Linked DNA regions of Drosophila melanogaster. The protein of the gene in region 1 interacts with the protein of each later gene in a pairwise test. Each region holds a gene or a part of one and is shown on either strand. Other genes may lie near its edges.

What was found.
Region 2: the proteins of Sln (region 1) and Bsg interact in a two-hybrid assay, tested with the Drosophila melanogaster proteins (one large-scale study listed by BioGRID).

Annotation. Positions count from the first base shown.
Region 1 is NT_033778.4:11,841,645-11,853,265, reverse strand, and holds Sln (silnoon), read right to left. Parts: upstream 7,943-11,621; 5' UTR 7,189-7,942; coding exon 7,156-7,188; intron 4,370-7,155; coding exon 3,403-4,369; intron 3,302-3,402; coding exon 2,849-3,301; intron 2,790-2,848; coding exon 2,184-2,789; intron 2,108-2,183; coding exon 1,981-2,107; intron 1,920-1,980; coding exon 1,538-1,919; 3' UTR 942-1,537; downstream 1-941. Other genes in the region: Mgtor (megator), read right to left, coding at 360-510; CG43190 (uncharacterized protein), read right to left, coding at 8,350-8,541, 8,600-8,752; S2P (site-2 protease), read left to right, coding at 9,313-9,387, 9,439-9,876, 9,944-10,957; CG34229 (uncharacterized protein), read right to left, coding at 11,187-11,420, 11,504-11,542.
Region 2 is NT_033779.5:8,084,901-8,093,190, reverse strand, and holds the start of Bsg (basigin), read right to left. Parts: upstream 4,888-8,290; 5' UTR 4,675-4,887; intron 4,582-4,674; exon of another isoform or gene 4,486-4,581; intron 4,089-4,485; exon of another isoform or gene 3,798-4,088; 5' UTR 3,528-3,797; coding exon 3,455-3,527; intron 1-3,454.

The DNA.
Region 1 (11,621 bases):
AATTCCCTGAAGATTTCAAACTCGGACTAATCAACTGTTTTGGTGGGAAAATGTCCGGCCAGTGTTACCACACCGGTGAGGTGAAAATTAATAAGGAAAATAATGTTGCTGCAAGCAGCCATTGTTTTTAATTGCAACAACCCGGAATTTTATATTTAAATTTCTATACAAAAAATATGTAAATGGCGCAAGAGTGTTTACCACGCTAGAAACCATACAGTCGCGGATTGCTTATTACAAGAAGCGGTATCTGAGCCGGTAAACGCCGCAAAGTTGGAGGTAAAAGCATACGCATGCAAATAAAGGGTTATTTGCAAAATATGGCGCATTTTAGTATATATACAAATATAAAAACTTACCCAACCGATTGGCGGCCGCACGGTTCTTGCAGTACTCATCTGAGAAATTGTTGATGTACTCCGACAATTTCTTCTGGACGTCTTCCGGCACGAGTTTCAACTCGTCGGGCTGAAGTATGTTGTTCAGAGTTTGTGGACCACTGAGATCCATGTTCGCAGTTGATCCTTGTCAAGCAGCGGTTAAATTTATATGGAGCGGTGCGAAGTTTACTTTCTTACTTTTTACTTTACTTTAGTCTTAATTTTTTGCGAATTGTGCACAAAGTCGCTTTAGGGACGCGAAAAAATGAACGTCAATGCAGTGGAGATGGAACAATATCGATATTTTTCGGTACTATCGATTCGAGTATATTATTCTCACTGTTTCAACAGCGTTATAACAGCCTATTCACAGCCTAATAAAACAAAATGTTTTTCTTTAAAAAGAGATAAATTCATTCATAAAAAAAATTTTTTAAACGTGGTTGAAAAATCCGTTTTTATTACGAATAAAAAAAGAAAGGACTTTATTTAATAACATAAACGAATGCAAAACCCAAACCAAGCGAAATCATTCCCTTTAATTCCATAAAACGCGATTAACCTTTTGATTTCGTGTTTATTTGGTAATTGTCTTTATGGGTAAATGTCTCACAACAACTATTTTAATTCTAGGGTAATGTAATGTGATGTTCTCCATTCAAGCCTCCCTTCTGTCTAAAGCCACTTAATTTTTCCTGCACAAAGTTTAGTCCTTTCCGATATGGATGTGCGAACCTACAACTATAGTCGGCCTATATAACCATCTAGTCGGGCATTGATCGTAGTTATCATATTATAAAGTTATATACGGGTATTTGTAGTTCATGTCTTTTAAACTCAGTTCTTTTTGCGCAACATTTGGTGCTCAGTTGTTGGTTGTTTAGGTTGTTTGGTTTCTTCGTTTGAATATCATCATCTTACACATCCTTTTGCTGTTGCTCAACGGAAGGATAACAAGCGATTGGGTGCGGGTGGGCATGGGGATTGATTAAGATACAAAGATACGGATGAGAACGTACGGATAGTAGTAATAGTAACTGGTAGAATCAGCAATATCGGTGAGGCATTCGAACTCTGAAACTCAGGAACTCAACTAGTATTTGATCGCTACTAAAACACTATTAACATATGGGGCAACCAACGAATCCGAATCATTTCTAGGCCTCCTCGCACTCCTCCTCCTCGCGCTGAACAAACAACCGATGGTTGCGGGCCTCCAGGATGGACCACACAATCAGCGGAGTGGTCCCGAGCACCATGCAGGATCCCATGCAGTAGAAGCATATCTCGTAGTCTCCGGAAAGGTCTCGCATCAGTCCTGCCAGCGGAGGCACCGATATGGCCCCGATGCTCTGGAACATCCTCACCAGCCCGTAGCTCGAGCTGATCCTGTCCGTGCCAAAGACGTCCGCAAGGAGGACCGGCATAAGTACATACCAGCTACCCAGGCAAAGTCCGTAGACAGCGGCCGATAGACCCACCAAAACCAGAGTCTTGGCGAAGGGAATTGTGAGCACGGCACATCCGGCGCCCAAAATGCTGTCGATATAGGGAAATGTGATTAGTTTGGATCGAAAAATAAACCTTATCTGGTACTCACCACAAGGTGTAGGTCTTCTTGCGATCGAATAGCTGCAGGTCGCACAGCCAGCCAAGTCCAAGGCGCCCAATTAAATCTAGGACCGCGCTGATGGCCACCAGGTATCCCGCCTCACTTTTATTGTATCCTAAAGATGAACCAAGTTTATAATATTTAAAATCGTACGCCGAAAGAATATACTTTGAACATTTTAAATAGTATACCTATTGAAATAACGTGGGCGGGCAGATAGTACAACATGTAGGGACAGCCGACGGACATCAAGGTGACGGATAGGCACATCAGGATAAAGCTCGGGTCCTGCAGCAGACTGATGTCCAGGTACATCTCGATGCGCTCGCAGCAAGTGCGTGGTCCCCGCTCTTCGTCGTCATCGTCATCCTCATCGGCGGCAAGGTGGCCGTCGCCATCGATAATGGACTCCACCAGCTGGGAGTCTAGAATGCCGAGCTCCGCCTGCTCCACCGGCTGCTGCTTGAGATCACTGAGGTTGCTAACCGGAGTGGGTATCTCCATGCTCTTGCTGAGTCCGCGACTGACCACACTCGGCGGCGAAAGAGGCTTCTCCAAGTGGGCTTGTATCTTGGATATCACCTCGTCGTTGGCAAAGACATTGCGCCGACGACGACTTCCGCGATTGGAGTCCGTGCCGGAGTGCTTGCGATAGACCCAAGTGGAGTCCGTGCTCAGATCTTCGACGGAGTGCAGCAATCCGGAACTGCGCACCTTCTTCATGGGCTTGATGAAAGTGGTCTCGCCAATAATATCCTTTACCTCGTCGTCACTCTCCTGCGCTGACTTGTCCTGGGCTAAGTAACCAAATGGGATTTATTATTTGGAGTTTTCCTCGATGAAATAATACTCCCACCTGGCTGCTTGCTGGCATAGTAGTTCAGGTGGTTCTTGGACTCCTCCAGGAACAGATGCTCGATAAACTTGTCGCTCAGCTCGTGGCCTGCACCCACATCGCAGGTGTCTAGGTAGGTGGATGTAGTCAGAATGCCCGTGGTGCTCGGATTGATGTCTTCGTTGAGGGGCTTTGCCGTCTCCTCCTGTCCCTGGCCCGAGTCCTGATCCGTGTAAGCACTGATTGGGCGGTAAAGTGTGGCCGAAACGCACACGTGAAGCATGCAACCGCCCAGGATCAGAATAGTGCCGTGGAAGCCACAGTTCTCCGCGAGGTGCTTTATCAGAACGGGTAGGATGAAGCTGCCGGCGGCAGTGCCCGAAACGCAGATTCCATTGGCCAATGCACGGTGCTTGTCAAAGTATTGGGACACTATCACTATGCCCGGAGTAGTCGAGAGGCCACCTCCAATACCTGGGCGTGAAGAAATAGTTAAATATAAACATCATGATAACTAAATAAATATAATTACTAATGTGATGAGGATAAATTTAAATTGATTATACATTATGCACCTGTGAGTACGCCAAATGTTAGGAGGAGGTGCAGCAGACTGGTGGCAAAGTAGCTCAGTATCATGCCCATGGCGCAGAAAATGCCGCCGACGAAGACCACCGTTCGGCAGGAGAATCGCTGGCAAAGAGCACTGGACAGCGGGGCCAGGACCAGACATAGAGCCGACAGGATCGCTGGAATCCAGGAGGCCACGGTGGCCGTAGAGCTGGGAAATGTCTCCATAATCTCCACATACAGCACGCCGTACGACTTGACCAGTCCGGCCACCCAGAATTGCACGGAGAAGGCCCCAAAGACGATGAACCAACCGTAACCGCCGTCCGGTGGCTCCACATTCGGACCACCGCTCTCCGTTGTGGTCGTTGAGGAGTCCCGATCCTTGACCACTTGCTTGCTACGCCTGGCGACGGTCACGCGATCCCGCTCGCGCTCCTTGGCCCGGCGGACGCACCTGCTGCGGGCCGTATTCAAACCAGATCCGGAACCTGAACCCGACTTCCGACTGCTGCGAAGCTCATGCGATTTGGCAATCAACGGTCGCGCCGTGATGCTGGACACGGTCAGCAGGTTCTCATTGTCGTCCTCCTCCAGCTCGGAGATCTGATGCTCCAGCAGGCTGGCGTGCAGGGTCCTCGGGCAGCATTGCGTGTCCAGGCTGAGGGTGGCGGGTCGTCGCATGGGCGAGGCGTTGGGTGAACAGCATCCGGAGCGGAAGGCGGCGGACTCCATGTGTTTGCCATCCATCTCGGTGGGCACAACGATGTCGGGCAGTGGAGCCGGCGGCGCTGATACCACCGAGAACAGGGAGCCGCATTCGAGGCCGACTCCGCCACCGGACCCGTCCACGCCCGCCCCTCCGCCGGAGCCCTCAGCCGTCTTCGTGTGGAGAAGGCACCCTCCCGACTCGTACTGGACTCCACCAGTTGGGTCCGGTTCACTCGCGCAGTAAACCGATCCCCGGGAACCCTGCGAAAAACATAAATAGTATTTTTGTATCGTTAAACATTAAATATGCTGGTTATCTAGTGCAATATTTAATATAAATCTATGAAAGTGTGTTTAAGATATGGAGTATGGAGTATGGAGGGATGTTTTTTTTAAATAACAATTAAATAACATAACAAGTTAACGAAGTAAGCAACCCAAGAAAATGGGCCAATTTAATTGCGAAAGTTCTTATCAAGTAGTAGACATCAAAAGTTAATGTCCCAAATTGGCGTGCATCCAAAAATTCCGCCTCCGCCGTAGCATTCAAAAATGGGTTAAACCCCGTCAGAAATCCGGGGCTGTTGACAAATCGACTGGAGGCGGGTCAAGGAAGCAACAACTTAGCCCAATTTGCATTGCTAAACGAAATGCGAGGAGCGCACGCGATCTGCCGCCTTATAGACGACATCGCTGCAACGACCTAATGTATGCAATACGTTTTGTTTAATTGAGTTAACATCCAGTTCCTTCCCGATTCCCGCTCCGCTGGGCTATGTAATTACCCGCGGACCGAGCGGATTTTCTTGTTATATGTACTTTGTTAAATCGATGCCAGGCTGCAGGTGCATGCTGTGCCTTGCGGGCTGGCATGACGTCTGGGAATTTTCCATTTGTCTGCGGGATCCGCTGCCACTTCCTCCCACGAAACCTCCATTTTCCGACGACTCAGGGTCAAGAGCGAGGTGGGTCTGGTCTGGCATGCGGTTGCCTTTCAGCACTTTTTTAGTTTCTGTCTTTGTTGCCGGAAATTGATGGGGGGTTCGATTGGCCCCAAAGGAGCAGTGGTGGGTGTTTGCTCCAATCCAAGGACGATGCAATGCTCGAACCGAAGGCTAATGCCAGGAAATATACCCGTGCTGATAAGACGCCAATCTTTGCCAAGCCCTCGTAGAAAGGACACAATTGGAAAGCAGTCAAAAACGAAATTCGGTAAGTTGATGTAAGGTATTATTGGGTTTACAGCCATGCCAACAGCTCAACTATACATACTAACTAATATATACATTTAAAACTTTATGTTATATGTGCACAGTTAATATTTTTACCTCATATTGAACTATTCCTAATTAGATTTCAACACCTGCCCCCTTAATATTTATGTGCTGTCGCAATCTTATTGTTATAACCAACAGTTCGTAATAACTCATTTCCTAATAGCTTCTTATTTCGCACTTAGTTGTCCCGCTCCCACCTATTTCTTGGTACTTCCAATGACGTACGTATACGAAATATGATACATTGCTGGCATCAAATATCAAGTATGCGACGTGTGTGCCCATTAGAAAGAAGGATTGGTGCCCAACGCTGGTTAAACCTATGCACAATATATTAGGTGAAGCGCTCTATCCTTAGTCAACCTTTTTATTTGCTTTTACTTAAGTATCCTATCTAAGCATGTCAGTTCTTAATGAGCAAATAATCAATAATTATTATAACGAATAAATATTGCATGGTAAATGTAACAAATCATAACATCACTTATGCTTAATAAAGCCAAGTAAATTTATATAATTGAATTCTAACTTTGAAAGTAAATTTAATAAATTTGTCTTTTGTTTACGTGGCATGTCATTTGTCGAACTTCGTGCCGCTTATGAACTGTCAGCCATATTGATGGTAGAAATATGCCAAATAGATGGCATGCAATATTCTTGAACGAGTGCAAAATGCAGTCACACATCTGACACGACTAATGAGCGTTGGCCAACTCTTGGCATTTGGCAACTCCCCCTCAAGAGCATGAGTCACAGCATCCTAGAGCCAGTGACCTTGTCGAATGTCAAAGGCCCACGTCGCCGTGGCATGCGATGGTATACGATATCCTGGACGCCAAGAACCCCCAAGACCACCCTCTGCTGTCAGCTGGAATCCGGCTTAAGCTGTCAGGAAGCTTTCGCTGGGGCAGCTCTGCAATCGCTGGTTGTTTTCAATTTCCCAACATTTCAAGGCCTTTGCCAGCGCTTAATGAAACGGAAGAACCTTCCCCCGGGCCAAGTTAGTTGGCGCTCGTGTGTGGGCCTGAACGATAAGCGGTCAAGGTGAAAGGGGTGGCCTCAAGTCGGCTGGTCGAGGGTGGTATCTAGTCGGGGAGGGAATCTAGTGGGGAGGACTTGACGCACAACTTGTTGAGCCACCCGTAATTGCTAGCCCTCCGTAATAATAGATATTAGGTTGCACAGGCCTAGGCCAATTAGTTCACCCAATCAGCAGGACATTGATGCTTAAGTGTAGGGATGCTGTACTCCCATATGCGAGTGTAAACACCTACTTAAATTTGGCTCAAAATTCATGTTTTAAGTGTTTACAAAATCAACGATTGTAAGTGTAAGTATAATTATAAGCATAATAAAAAGTTACTTTTCATTTGTGTCAAAACTAGTAGAAATGAACACTTCTATTCGATTTAATAGGTGTCATTAAAGGTCAACACCATGCCACGACTGAACTTTGGCTTGTGGTTTTCGGTCTTTCCATCAGCAGTCGGGGCATGTATTGTTTACTTTCTTGTCCCCGTTCTTCTAAAGCGACTAAGATGGATGCAACTTGTGACGTTGACCCATTCTCCTGTCGCTTGCAATGTTTACGTACTCGTAAAACACTCTCTGGTCCAGTGCGCATGCTCACCAGAGGAACCCAAACTCCAGCTACCTCAATACGATTGCCATTGGCCCACTCCCCAGAAAAGGCAGCGAGGAGGAATCAAGGGGGATGGTTCCTGACCTTCCCAAAGTAAGGATAATGGGATGCTGGGTAGTACTACTCACCTGTAAATGCCAGTCACGCTGTAGGGACGACATTGCCGTCCTTTACTGAACGTGAAACGCCTTTGATGTTTCTCTTGTTGCTCGCGCTGTTGTTGTTGTTGCTTGGGGCGTTGTTGTTGTGCACCCAAATGCATTGGGTTGCCTCTGCTTTGGGTCCTTAAAGTCCTGAAGAGCTGACGTTCGCGGGCCTTCACCGGTTGGCCCAAAATAAATACTCTCTTGCTACTGCTGCTTCTGCCGGAACGGCTCCTTTGGCACTGAATCCTTTGCGGGTTCGTCTTGATGGTTTGTTCTCCGAATCGATTGCGATTTTCGTTCGCTTTTTCTTGAGGGCTTCCTTGAGGAACTTGTATGGGTTTTCCTAGGGGCAATATCCTTGCTGCTCTGGCGTCATGATGCGTTGATGTGACACACAGTATTCCCTGTTACTATTGTTTATGCAGCAGCTGTTTCCGCTTCCGCTTCCTTGTCGCCCCCTTCCGTATCCGTTTTCGGCACAAGCGCACTCTCTCACTCACTCGCTGGCGAATATGCAGTTTTTGGAACAAATCGATATGGGGCGAGATTCCAGCTGAAGTCCTTTGTTCTTAGCTTACTCAATCACAATCGAACGAATTGGATCCTTCCAGTGAGTTAAATTGGTTAAAAATACGCCTGAAGCTATTGAACACTTTCTCTGATTGGGAAAACCCTTTGCAAAAGCCTTTTTATTTTTCGTGAGTACTCTTCGTTTGTTGCCCTTTTTGGCGGATGCGACTGTTCTGCTGCTGCTCAAGCTCACGACTAAACTGATGATACTCATGTCCTCTGGAGGTCCATTGAAAACCCAACTCAGTTAAGGTGAACTTGGTGGTGGTGAGTTTCGGCATGGAAAAAGGAAAAACAAGAGTAAGAGGTCCTCTCTTCCTTTCCATTGGTTTTCATCCGTTTTGTTTTGCTAGGTTCTTTTGGCCGCCTGTTGCCAGAACCACCTACTTTTATTTCTGAAAACAGCTGATGAATGAATTACGAATTGCCTTACGAATTAAAGTCACACAAATTTAACAAATGTAACTTTACAATTTCTCATGCTAGATTTTCATATACCTATAATTTTTCAATTTTAATCAAAGTAGGTGTATTCGTTGCTCTTGATTACTGCACGGCAAATTTATAATATAAATCCAAAACTAAACGAGAACACTTTGCATTGCTCTATAGAGAAGTGCGTAGTTCTTCCAGGCTTTTGGTCATGTTCAACGCCACTCCAAGAAATATAAAGCTGATGGCCACAGATGAGAAAACGGCAGCCGGTAGGTTCTTGAGTAGCCACTGCAGGATCATCGTGTAGACGGCAATGGCCATGAGCAGCATGCACATGTATGGATAGGCCAGCCATTTAATGAACTGCAAAATCACAGGATTCTTAAGAATATTTCCTCAATTAATTTTGCTTCAGGTTAACCTTCCAAACTGCAATAATCAACAGGAGCGAGGATAATGCATAGAGAGCCGATCCGGTGGTCCACACAATCTTTACCGCTTCAGAGACACCTGATAAACTGGTCATGAAAAGATAGCCGGCAGCCACGCCCGATATACAGGATACGCAGGCCATAATGGAGACGATCAGCCTGCAAGTCGGCAAAAGTCTCTTATATGAGAATTCCTGTTCGCTCATGTGTTTGATGTATTTTAAGTCACTTAACACAATGGATTTTGAATTTTTTTATATTGAAAGCAAATCATTTTCATAAAAAAATTTTAATTGTTGTTTTTGAGTTGTTCAACAGTTTTCTTTGTTTGACGTTGAATAGTTGAAAATGTTCAAAACTTTCGCGCCCAAATAAGCTTGCTTATCGGTATTATTGATAAAGCGGCCATCGATAAGTTCTGCAATCGATTGCGATTAGCTTTTGGTATTTCGATTTTTTACGCAGGTTAATTTGCGCACAAGATTCCCAGACGTGATTAATGCTGATTTCTGGTCTGGACTACACAGCATTGCTGGTATAAGGAGTCGGGACCAGAGGAGTAAGATTTCGGGAAGGAATCCCGTCCGGTAGGGACTACTAGCATTCGCAAGTGACGTCCAGCAACCGGAGGACCCCCAACTGTAGAATCCGCATCACCATCCTAATCCCAACAAACCAATGACATCTTGAGACCTCACCAGCCATGGATCCCTTCGTGTTCTTCATAGTACTGGCATCGCTTTATGGCGTTCTTTACTTTTTCGACCGCTTCTTCAAGGTGTAGTATATCCAGCCAAAGTACGTCCAGATACTTAATGTAATCCCTTAGAGTTGCATGCACTACCCGTACGATGCCTTCCTCAAGAACACCGGGCTGAGTATAAATTTCATGAGCCTCCACTGGCACACGAGTGCCTTTAACAGGACCCTCCTACGCTGGGGATCTGCCGGTAACAGCTGCACCCGGAGAGTAATGATCACCAGCTTTAATGTAGGAGTCCTGGTCACCTTTTCTCTGCTCCCGATCGGTCTGATCCTGCTCATTGCCACTATCTTCAGCAGTGGTGAACAAGACAGCTCTTCGTCTGTATCCTCGCCCGTTGGAGTCCCTGTGCAGCTGGAAATTCTACTGCCCGGCGTCAACTTGCCGTTGGAGGAGATCGGATACTACATCACAACCCTTGTGCTCTGCTTGGTGGTGCACGAGATGGGACACGCCCTGGCCGCTGTGATGGAGGATGTGCCTGTCACCGGGTTTGGAATAAAGGTTAGAATGATATAGCGTACTTTACAACCTAATACGCTTACTAATTAGGTAAATATTAATATTTCAGTTCATCTTCTGCCTGCCGTTAGCATACACGGAGCTCTCCCACGACCACTTAAACAGTCTACGTTGGTTCCGCAAGCTACGTGTTCTGTGCGCTGGAATCTGGCATAATTTTGTGTTCGCTGGCGTGTGCTATCTCTTAATCTCAACGGTGGGAATCACTATGTCACCTTTGTACGCTTACAACCAACACGTAGTGGTCACTGAACTAACAAGGAAATCCCCGCTGAGGGGAGAGCGCGGCTTGCAAGTGGACAATCAAATAACCCAAGTAAACGGCTGCCCAGTAAACAGCGAGGAGAGTTGGGTGACATGCCTGCAGAACTCTCTGAAGCTCAAGCCGGGCTACTGTGTGAGTGCGGACTTCGTGCAGCTTAACGACGAAAGCAGCGCCATCTCACATCATAGCATTGATGGTCAGCTACAGTGCTGTGATGAACTAAATCCGAACGTAAGCTGCTTCGAGGTGGTGGAGGACGCAAATGGAGATGTGCCGGTGGAGCTGCCGCAGCATGTATGTCTCAATGTGCGCCGCACTTTGGAGGAGGTCTCCGAGCACTGCTCGTCCGGAGTTTGCAACGAGGGATTCTGCCTACGACCGCTTATACGAAATATCACTGCCATAATGACGTTCAAGCGACAGAATTTTCGCGGAGAGAAGCTGCCGCCGGTGATCTATGTGGGCCATCCATGGGATGTCACTCGAACTGTGGAGGTATCCGCCTTTGTGCCGAGATATAGCTTATTAAAGGCAGCCTGGCCGGATGCCTGGCTGCTGCTCCTCAAGTATAACGTGGTCTTCAGCATAGGATTGGCGTTGATCAATGCCATTCCCTGCTTTGGTTTCGATGGCGCCCACATTACCAGCACCGTGATACACAGCTTCTTGGTGGGCAGAGTGGATCAGCATGCCAAGAGAGATATCATCTCGTTGATAATCACCAGCGTGGGTTCCCTTCTCTTTGCACTGGCCCTGCTTAAGGTGGCCTGGTTGAGTTTTCTGCGACCCCTGCTTTAAGAACTGAAATGGAAAACTGAAATGGATCCTGGGAGTTCAACTCCCTGCAAAGACGCTAGACTGCTATTTCACCTTCACGAAACACACAAAAACACAGCGAATTGTAGCACCTCAAAGATTCGATAGCTTTTTGTCATAGTCCTTAGTCTTAACTCGTATTTATTTTCGTACGGTTGTCGAGCTCAAAAATAAAATCAAATTAAGCTAAGATTTATGTTCAAGACTGATCCTATTTGCCCTCGCTCACCCCGCTCAGTTGGAGGCTGGTCCTTAGTTCTGTGAGGCTGCGTCTGCCGTGCTGAAGGAGCATCTTGATGGCCACCTCGTCACTTTGATGGCGATTCGTCTGGAAGTCATGCCGTGCCCAGGATTTTAGCTCCAGCTGGCTGTTTTTGTCGGGAACCTGACGAATCGTTCGAAATATTTCCCGGTAGAGCTTCAGTACTTCCTGGCGCAGCATAAACTACAATGTAATCAATTCATTCAATTATTGTTAGTTTTATTAATATATTTGGAAAACCATAAAAATGATTTAAACCTGCTTACCTGCTTCAAACTAAGTGATGCTTTTGGTAACTTGGACATTTCTGCTTAATTGTTTTTTTTTCTTTATATTTTCTAGTTGAATTATTATTATTAGTTATTCTTTTAGTTTTCAAGTTAT
Region 2 (8,290 bases), on another chromosome or scaffold:
CTTTCTCTCTCTGTGTGTGTGTGTGTGTGTAGTCATGTAAAACCAACCATAGAACTCAAGTTCCAAACTCAAACTCAACCCAAGCCCAGCCAGACGCAACCCAATCCAATATGAGACCAAACTAAACTGAAGCCAACGCCAGGCGACGATGACATTGAAAGGGAAATTACATTTCATGTTTATTGTCTTAATAAAAATAATGTTTGCGCAAAAGAAGCAAAACAGTCAGGTTCTGCCGCCACCGCCTCGTATCTCGCACAAATCATCTCGGATTCAATGCAGAATGCAGATACCCAAGACAATCTCTGCCATTCGTAATGTATTTTTATAGCAAATGCAGCAAAAGCAAGGGAAACCAGAACAACATTGAATTATTGCTAGGCGTTCAAGGAGTTAAATTCACTTCAGCTTAATCCGCTTGAGATTCTTGATCAATACGTATGATTTATGTGCAATAAGAGACTTCCAGCGATAAAGTAATTGAAAAAGGGCACACAGTCAGCTTAATTAAACATTTTCTCTTATTAACATTGTAAGTCGCGGAACAAAAGTTTCTTTGTTAGATGATATTTCGCCTGTGATAACATTTTAAATGTTAGTTTAGTTTAGTTTATATTGATACAAATAGTATCATAGCATTTTAAGCATTTAAACCTTTTTTTTAGCCCACTTTACATCGGTTTCATTTTACGCTACTTGTTTGCTTTGGCTTCCTTTTGCTGGGTGAGCCGAAATTTAAATATTTGACATTTATTAATGTAATGAAAATGTCATTAAATAAACATGGCAAAATGAAACTGGTTAGCCAAATGTGCGCAGTCAACAGCCGAAATGAAAGCACTTGCCAAGACATTCCACCTGCTCGGATATTCCGCAAAACAAAAGAGAAATAAGGAGGAGTACATGGTACAGTGTACATACATATGTACATATGTATGTGACAAGACCTATGGAATATTCTCAGACTTGGGGGCAATATGGGATGGGGGGTTGGGTGGTGTGACCAGACCAGCATTATATTTTGGCTCTTCGCACATTCGTCCGCAGCATAAACACCTGGACAACACGTGGTTTTTTCGCCACTAGCTGAAAATGGCTTTGAAGTGGTGTGGGGCAAATTCAGCGGGGAGACAAAGGAATGCTTCTTCAAATTGGCTTTCTGGTTTTCGACCTGCCACCCCTACCCCCCCTTTCCAACAACAAGCAACCAAAGTGATTCATGTAGTGCCAACATATGTATGTACCACCCGACATTATCTCCCTGGAGGGATCGCTTTTCTTGTTTTTCCATGCCGGTTTTCCCTCGATGCGTGCCCGGTAATTTCTTTCTTTTATTTCGGCTGCTTATTTACGTAAACAATTTGAAAAATCATTGAATATTTAGTACGCTAACGAAATTGTGCAAAAAATACCAAATGGTCTAATAAAAACTAAGAGTAAGGTACAACAACACTTAACGATATGGGTTTGTTCTAAAATGGACAATAGTTTTGCATTTCGTTTTTAACCCATAATAAGCCGAAACTTTGTGTATCTATGAATAATTGAACAAATCAATCAGAGAACCTAATAAAGACACGAATAAAACCTTAAATTATTTACACACTGCCTTTTGAACGGAACGAATACCCCCAATCAACTATGAATAAATGCCAGCATATGAACAGCACGAAAAAAAAACTCAATTAATACACCTTGAATGTGAAAATAGCTGCATGGGGCTAAATAATGTACGAAACAAAACAAAACCAGCCAAACGTTCAGTTTAGCGAAAAAAAAAATCAAAATTCATGAACATACGTAGGTTTTGGTAGTGAGCCAGAGCCAGACGGACATTCAGATATTCAGACGGACGGACGGATAGATATGTAGATAGATGGATGTATGGAATAAAGTAGAATAGGTAAATGGATAGTATGCATAGAATAATAAATAGATGGAACCGCCCGCGCGGGCATCATAGACAAATCCCCAAGGAAGGTGGAAGGTGCGAGGCGGGGCTGCCCAGTTCCATATGTAAACAAAATGCAGGCCACCGTTGCCGGTTCGTATCGGGTACGTATCGGGCACGTATCGGTTAATCGGTAAATCGATTCGTTCTGGTCCGCTTCGCTTTGGGTCGGCTAAAGTTAATATAAACAAGCGGGGAAAACCAGAGACAGGCCGTAATTATTGGACCGCATGTAAAATAGTCTTCTTAAGGCTAAACAAAAATTCTTAAAGATAGCCCTCACTAGAACCGAAATGAACTTGATACTCTGCTTTTGCGTCTGCTTCTGCTTCTGCTCCTCTGCTTTTTTTTTCCGACATTCGCCGCTGTTCTCTTTCAGCAATTGTGTGGAAAATTGAAAATCAAATGAAATGCGGTCGCGCGAACAGTGGAAAAGCGACGGAAAACCTACGACGAAAACGGCAGGGGGAAAAAACATAAGCAACAATGTCAATATGGCAGCACTGCAATCCAATCCCAAGTCCATCCAACCGACCCAACAATATGAACTATAAAAGCAACACGAAAATATCGAAGTCCGCTTAACTAGAGGGCAAAACAGTAGAATGCAGCACAGAGACCTTGTCCAAAGTTGGAAAATGGATGGTGGGTGGCTCGTGGGTGGCTGGTGGGTGGATGGTGTCCCGTGCAATATGAAAAGAGAATACATAAAGCCGGGCAAAAAAGAAATGTGATTGTCCATTTTGTGGTTCTATTCAAAGACGAGAACGTGAACGAAATAAAAGTTTCATTTTTAAAAGCGCGGACTCAAATATATTAATATTTTCGAATATCGCTGGTAAAACCCATTTGTGTCTTGTGGCTAAAGGACCAGCAAAGTGCCCCTTTCTGAGATCCCCTAATTTGAAGAATTATCGATACATTTCTCCGATAACTTTACCATTGATTTAAGTCGCCTCGTATTAATACTGTTTGTTTCCATTATTGCGGCTAGGGTCTGGCTTTAGGGTGAACTTGGAAGGGGTAAAAGTCAGGTGGTGGGTGGACGAACACCCTCGCCCTTTGGTGGGTGCACTTTTGTTTTGGGTGGCGGGGCAATTAGGGGGCGTGGGATAAGGTTAGTGGGTGTTACAGTAAGCCACAAACAATCTGCTGTTTTTTATTTATTCCCTTCCTCCTCTTGCTCCACCTCTTTGTTTTGCTTTGTTCGGTTCGGTTGTGTTCTGTTTTGCAATTTCTGCTATCACAGCTGCAGTTTAACCATACTTTCCCCCATATACATATGTATGTATATTTTTTGTATTCCTTTATACTGGGCTGCTACGTACATAGGTGTGTTAATATTATATGTGTGTATGGGTGGGTGTGTGGTTGGGGCAGGGTGATTTTATGGGCGGGGTACAACTTATAGGTTAAAAGGGCCTTCTTTGTTTATCATTATGCTTATTGTAGGGGGTTCATTCTTTTAGATTTAGAGGGGTTTTTTCGGGGGGCTGTACTCACCAAGTGATTGAGCATAAATCGCTAAAAATATCGAGAGGAATGAAAGAGCGCTAGCCAAGAATTTTGCCTCCATCTTTGGTATTGATCCGTTGTTGTTGTTGGTTGTTGTTAATTATGCTGCCGATGTGTGGTTGTTGTTGTTGGCGGTGACTTGTTGTTGTTGTCGTTTTCGTTATTTCCTTGTCATTTGCATTTATTACAGATTTGTGAATTTACTCCGTTTAATGATTGATTAATTATTTGTGGCTGTTGGTTGGTTGGTTGTTGATGTTGTTGTTGGTTGTGGTGTTTCTTTTTCTTTGCTTTTCTTATTTTTTTTTTTTTGTACTTTAAGCTTAACTTACTAAATCATTATGGTAAATATTAATTTATAAATAGATCTTTAAATGTATACGTTATTAGGCTTAGTTATTTAATTTGATATTAGTTGATGCTGTTGATGTTGTTGGTTGGTTGTTTGCTTTGGATCTTCCGTTTGGTGTTTTGCTTGAGTGCGAATTTTTCTATTTTTTGGCTCTTCCAGCTTTCCTATTTTGTTCTTAATTCATGAAGCTATATTCGCAAATAAAAATATTTAAGAAAATTTCTCATTTTGCATTTATTTTCGTATGAAGGCAAACTTTTCGTGCGCTTCCCCGTATTCTTTTTGTTGTGTTTTTCGTTCGGTTTTATTTGTATGCTTTTTTCCAACAACAAAGGCAAAAGGAAAGACGAGTGAGAGAAAACTTTTTAAAATTATACATCAATATTCAAATTAAGAAGAGATTGTGGAGAGGAGCGGAATCAAGGATACAAAAACAAATCGAAAAGATCAAAATCAAAACGAAAGCCGAACGAACAACATTCAACATTCAGCTAAATGTATAATTTTTCAAATGTCACATTTAATTTTTTTTTGTTTTATTTTCACTGCAGCTAAGCACGTGCTGTTCACATAAGTGGGGCGGCGGGTGGTTGGGTTTTTCTTTTAGCCCGCTAATTTAACGTTAACTTTTGCAGTTCTTTTTTCACACGCACTCACACAAACGCACATCTAACTTTTCCCAGTCCAAAAGTTCTATTTTTTTGCTGGCTAAGCAGAAAAAAGAAATTATGGCACGTTGACGACGAAAATACTATTTTTCTGGCTAGCCAACGAGCAAAAGAGAGGGAGATAGAGTGAAAGCAAGAGAAAGAGAGTGAGGGATTCTTGAGACTGAGAGCAAATAATTATGTTTTACACAAGGAGCGCAACAATTTCTAGCTGCTTTTTAGCCAATGGCCATTGTTGTTGCTGCACGTACTTGTACTAGTGTAGTTGTTGTTTCTGTTTGGCTGTTCTTGCACAACGGGAACACAAAAAGCAAACGAAATTTGGCAAACGGACGGGCCAAAACGAGGCAAACAGAACAGAGCGAACAGAGCGAACGCGGCGAATTCAGCGAGCAGACTGAATCGCACACATGACCAACGGACGAGAGTAGCCGCCTTCGCTGCGGCAGCGACGTCGACGCACAGTGATTTGGGTTCAGTTTGACATACACTTGTCAGCTTATCTAAATAGTTCGGCCGTTATCTTGACCAGACCGATTACGAGTACTGTACAAAATGGCGAAAAATAAATCGAGTTTAAACGACATTTTTTCATTATACAGGAATCTTTAGGAATTTGAAATCACCTGTTTTATTTAAAACAAAATGCAGAAGCTAGGTCTGACTTCAAGCTACTAAATTAGCTAGAAACTTAAAAAAAATTTTAAAACCATAAATTGAGTTATTAATCAATATTTGCTCTTGGAAACCTTATCTTACAGTTCAATAGGAATTTCCCAAATTGACGGAATTACAATGTACTTGTGCTCGTATGGGCCTGAAAGTACGCTACTTTTATTCACTTTTCTCTCAGCCTATAGAAGCACTTAAGGAACAGTATCAAACAAATTGCAATCGAGCAATGATTCAACAAAAATCACCAAGTGACAGAGTCTGCGAGTAATTACGACCAATTATTTGACGATCGAAGAAAAATAGCATTCCATTTGCTTCACCGCATGACGTCCGCATAAAAGCTGATAACAATTGGCCCGAGATCTATTATTACTTCTAGAATTTCGTATTGCGGATGTGTCGAGAAAACAACTATTCCCACTCTTATCAATGCGGGAGGACAGTCACCGAGTAAGCAGAATAGATAAGAAAAAAAAAAGGGTAGAAGCTATCACCAGAGCTGGCCGATTTCATTATCCATGAACATTAGCTTTAAAATTCCTCAACTGACGAAAGGCATCAATGTTTGAAAAACAGCTAAAATAATAAACCTTACATAAGAATTAAAATTCTTACTCGTTTCTATTTCCCCCCAAAATAAAAGCCATAAAACACGTAAACATTTTTGAAAGCAATTGTGTTATACAAGGAAACAGCTCAAAAAAAACTAGTCAAAATAAATTCTCAAACTTTTGGCAATAAAACCGTCGAACGGACAACGCTAAATCATAGTGCGCTGGATTTTTTGTTTACCGCCAGACGACGTGCGGCCCTCAGCAGAGCAGATAGAACGCCAGTTGAAATGTTTCCGTAACGTGTCACGAATCCGACTCTCATTCTATCGCATTAAGATAAAGCCCCAATGCAGTACTTTGAACAAATACGGGACTCCGTCCGTCCGTCCGTATCACCAACACCAATACTACCGCAACCAAAAACCACACCAACGTCTTGGCCACATGATATAATACCGTAGCCGGAGCATGGTCGACAACGACGTCAGATGTCCGCGGCCCAGTCGCCGAGTCCCAAAGACCCAGACCACCAGACCGTCCAAACTGACCGCCTCTGGTCCATTGCCGTCCCGCTCGCACTGCCGCTCTGGTTTCGGGCGGTTCTATGCGGTTCGCACACGAATGTAGATCTCCATCTTTTCGGAAGGCAGGGAACTTTGCTAATTCGGCATGGGTGTTGGAAAGGTAGGGGTTTTTTGCGGGTTGGCGGCATCGAGGGGGGTTGTCTCGTCGCATTTATTATTGGTCAGCCGTATTTATTTTTACAAATTTGCGAGAGCAAATATGAAATCAGCTGTTCGCATTGCCCGCTGAGATTAAAGCGATCAGGGGGGTATATAGTATTTGATGAGGTGTTTCCAACAACCAAACCATAGAGAACATTTTGCAATGCTTGCAATGAGTTCATAAATAATAAAGAAGCAAGAAGAGTCATAGGACTTGTAGTTGACAATAGAAGTACTAATAATTGACAAATTTTCCAAAGTTCTTGCCAGTTGATAAAGCGAAAAATCTATTACTCATAATTGACGTGTTCGCACAAAATAAAACTGTCGACAGATAATGTGATTGATGAAATATTTAATATACTATGTACTGCATTGGCCACTATGCCTTTATAACTAATAATCTTGAAATTTAGAGATTATAGTGAAATTTATCAAAAAACGACCACATGGTTCATGGCGTTTACGTGTTAGACTTTCAATTTAGGTATTATTATTATTCCATTAAATTTAATTACCATAACCACCTAATTTATTCTCACTGATGATAATTTTCCATTAGCTTAAACTAAAATCAAATTAATGGCAAAATATATAGCAATTTAGCTTTCCAATGTGATAGCTAGAGCACGCAAACGAGTTCATCTTCATCGATATCGTATCGTTTCAAATTAATTAGAACTCAAATCAGATTTATCACGGAGTGAGAGCATCCTACACAAACTAGTTTTCAAAGCCGCATTTTGGTGGACAAAGGGGGAGGCTTGGGGGTGCGGGCGGCGGTGTTGTGCGGCATGTTATCGATTTGGAGGAGAAACAAAAAACATTGCTATCGATTTGCTGCTGGCCTCGAGGTCAATCGAATGCTAAATGCCATGGTAGTCGTGTTCGGGCATTGGTGCCAAACTTTTGTTCCTTCTTTCGCGTTTTATTGGCAAACTTTGAGCATAAACACTTTGGAGACAAATTGCCCTAGCCGCAAGTTAGGCAGCGGACTATAATAGAGTAGAAAAGAGCAGCAGCATAACGTCATCGTCAGCCATGACTCAGTTTATTTGCTCTCTCGTACGCTCGCTCAAGACCCACACACACCAACGCACACTCCGACATTCAAGCGGCACACACAAACGATGCTGTTCTAAGCCGAGGCCAAAAATCGAACCTCGGATGACCGATAAAAAATGAAATAATAAGCGGGCATTGGGAGAGGGGTGTCAATTTAATTGCCTTAATTAAAAGGCTTAGAAAAACAAGACTGAGTTCCATCATCATCGCAATCGAATTCATGCGTTCCTCTTTATTTCGCCAACAGGGTTTACTTAGATGTGTGTATCTCGGTGTTGTCATCAATGCTGTGTACAGTGAAGCCGTCTTCAAATCGAAATAGATAGAAAACGGTTACAATCCGGGTTGTGATTTGAATCATCTAAAAACTACAGGCAAACTTCTTGAGTAAAAACCTTTGGCACACGAGGAATTATTTCTGAATTTCTCGAAGGTAAAGTTTTCAACACAGAACCATTAACTTTAAAAGCCAGCAAACCCCAAAAGATGACCAATGCAATATATAATTCCTTGCTTTGTTTGCTTTTTTTTTAGCCCAAAAAACACAATTTGGTTTCCATTTAAGGACAAAGTGCGTGTAATCCGCAAAGTATGCTATAAGAACGAATGTTTAAGATGTCCCAATAAGACTAGTGTTTGAAATCCAGCATTTCTTTAAAGTATCCTACCATAAACGGATTGCAACCCACTGTGCCCGCGATCGCCGAGGTATGCAATGGAATTTGATATGGCCAACAGCTCTGGGGTAACCACAATAAAGAACGAGTTTATCTATTCTGAGCCGC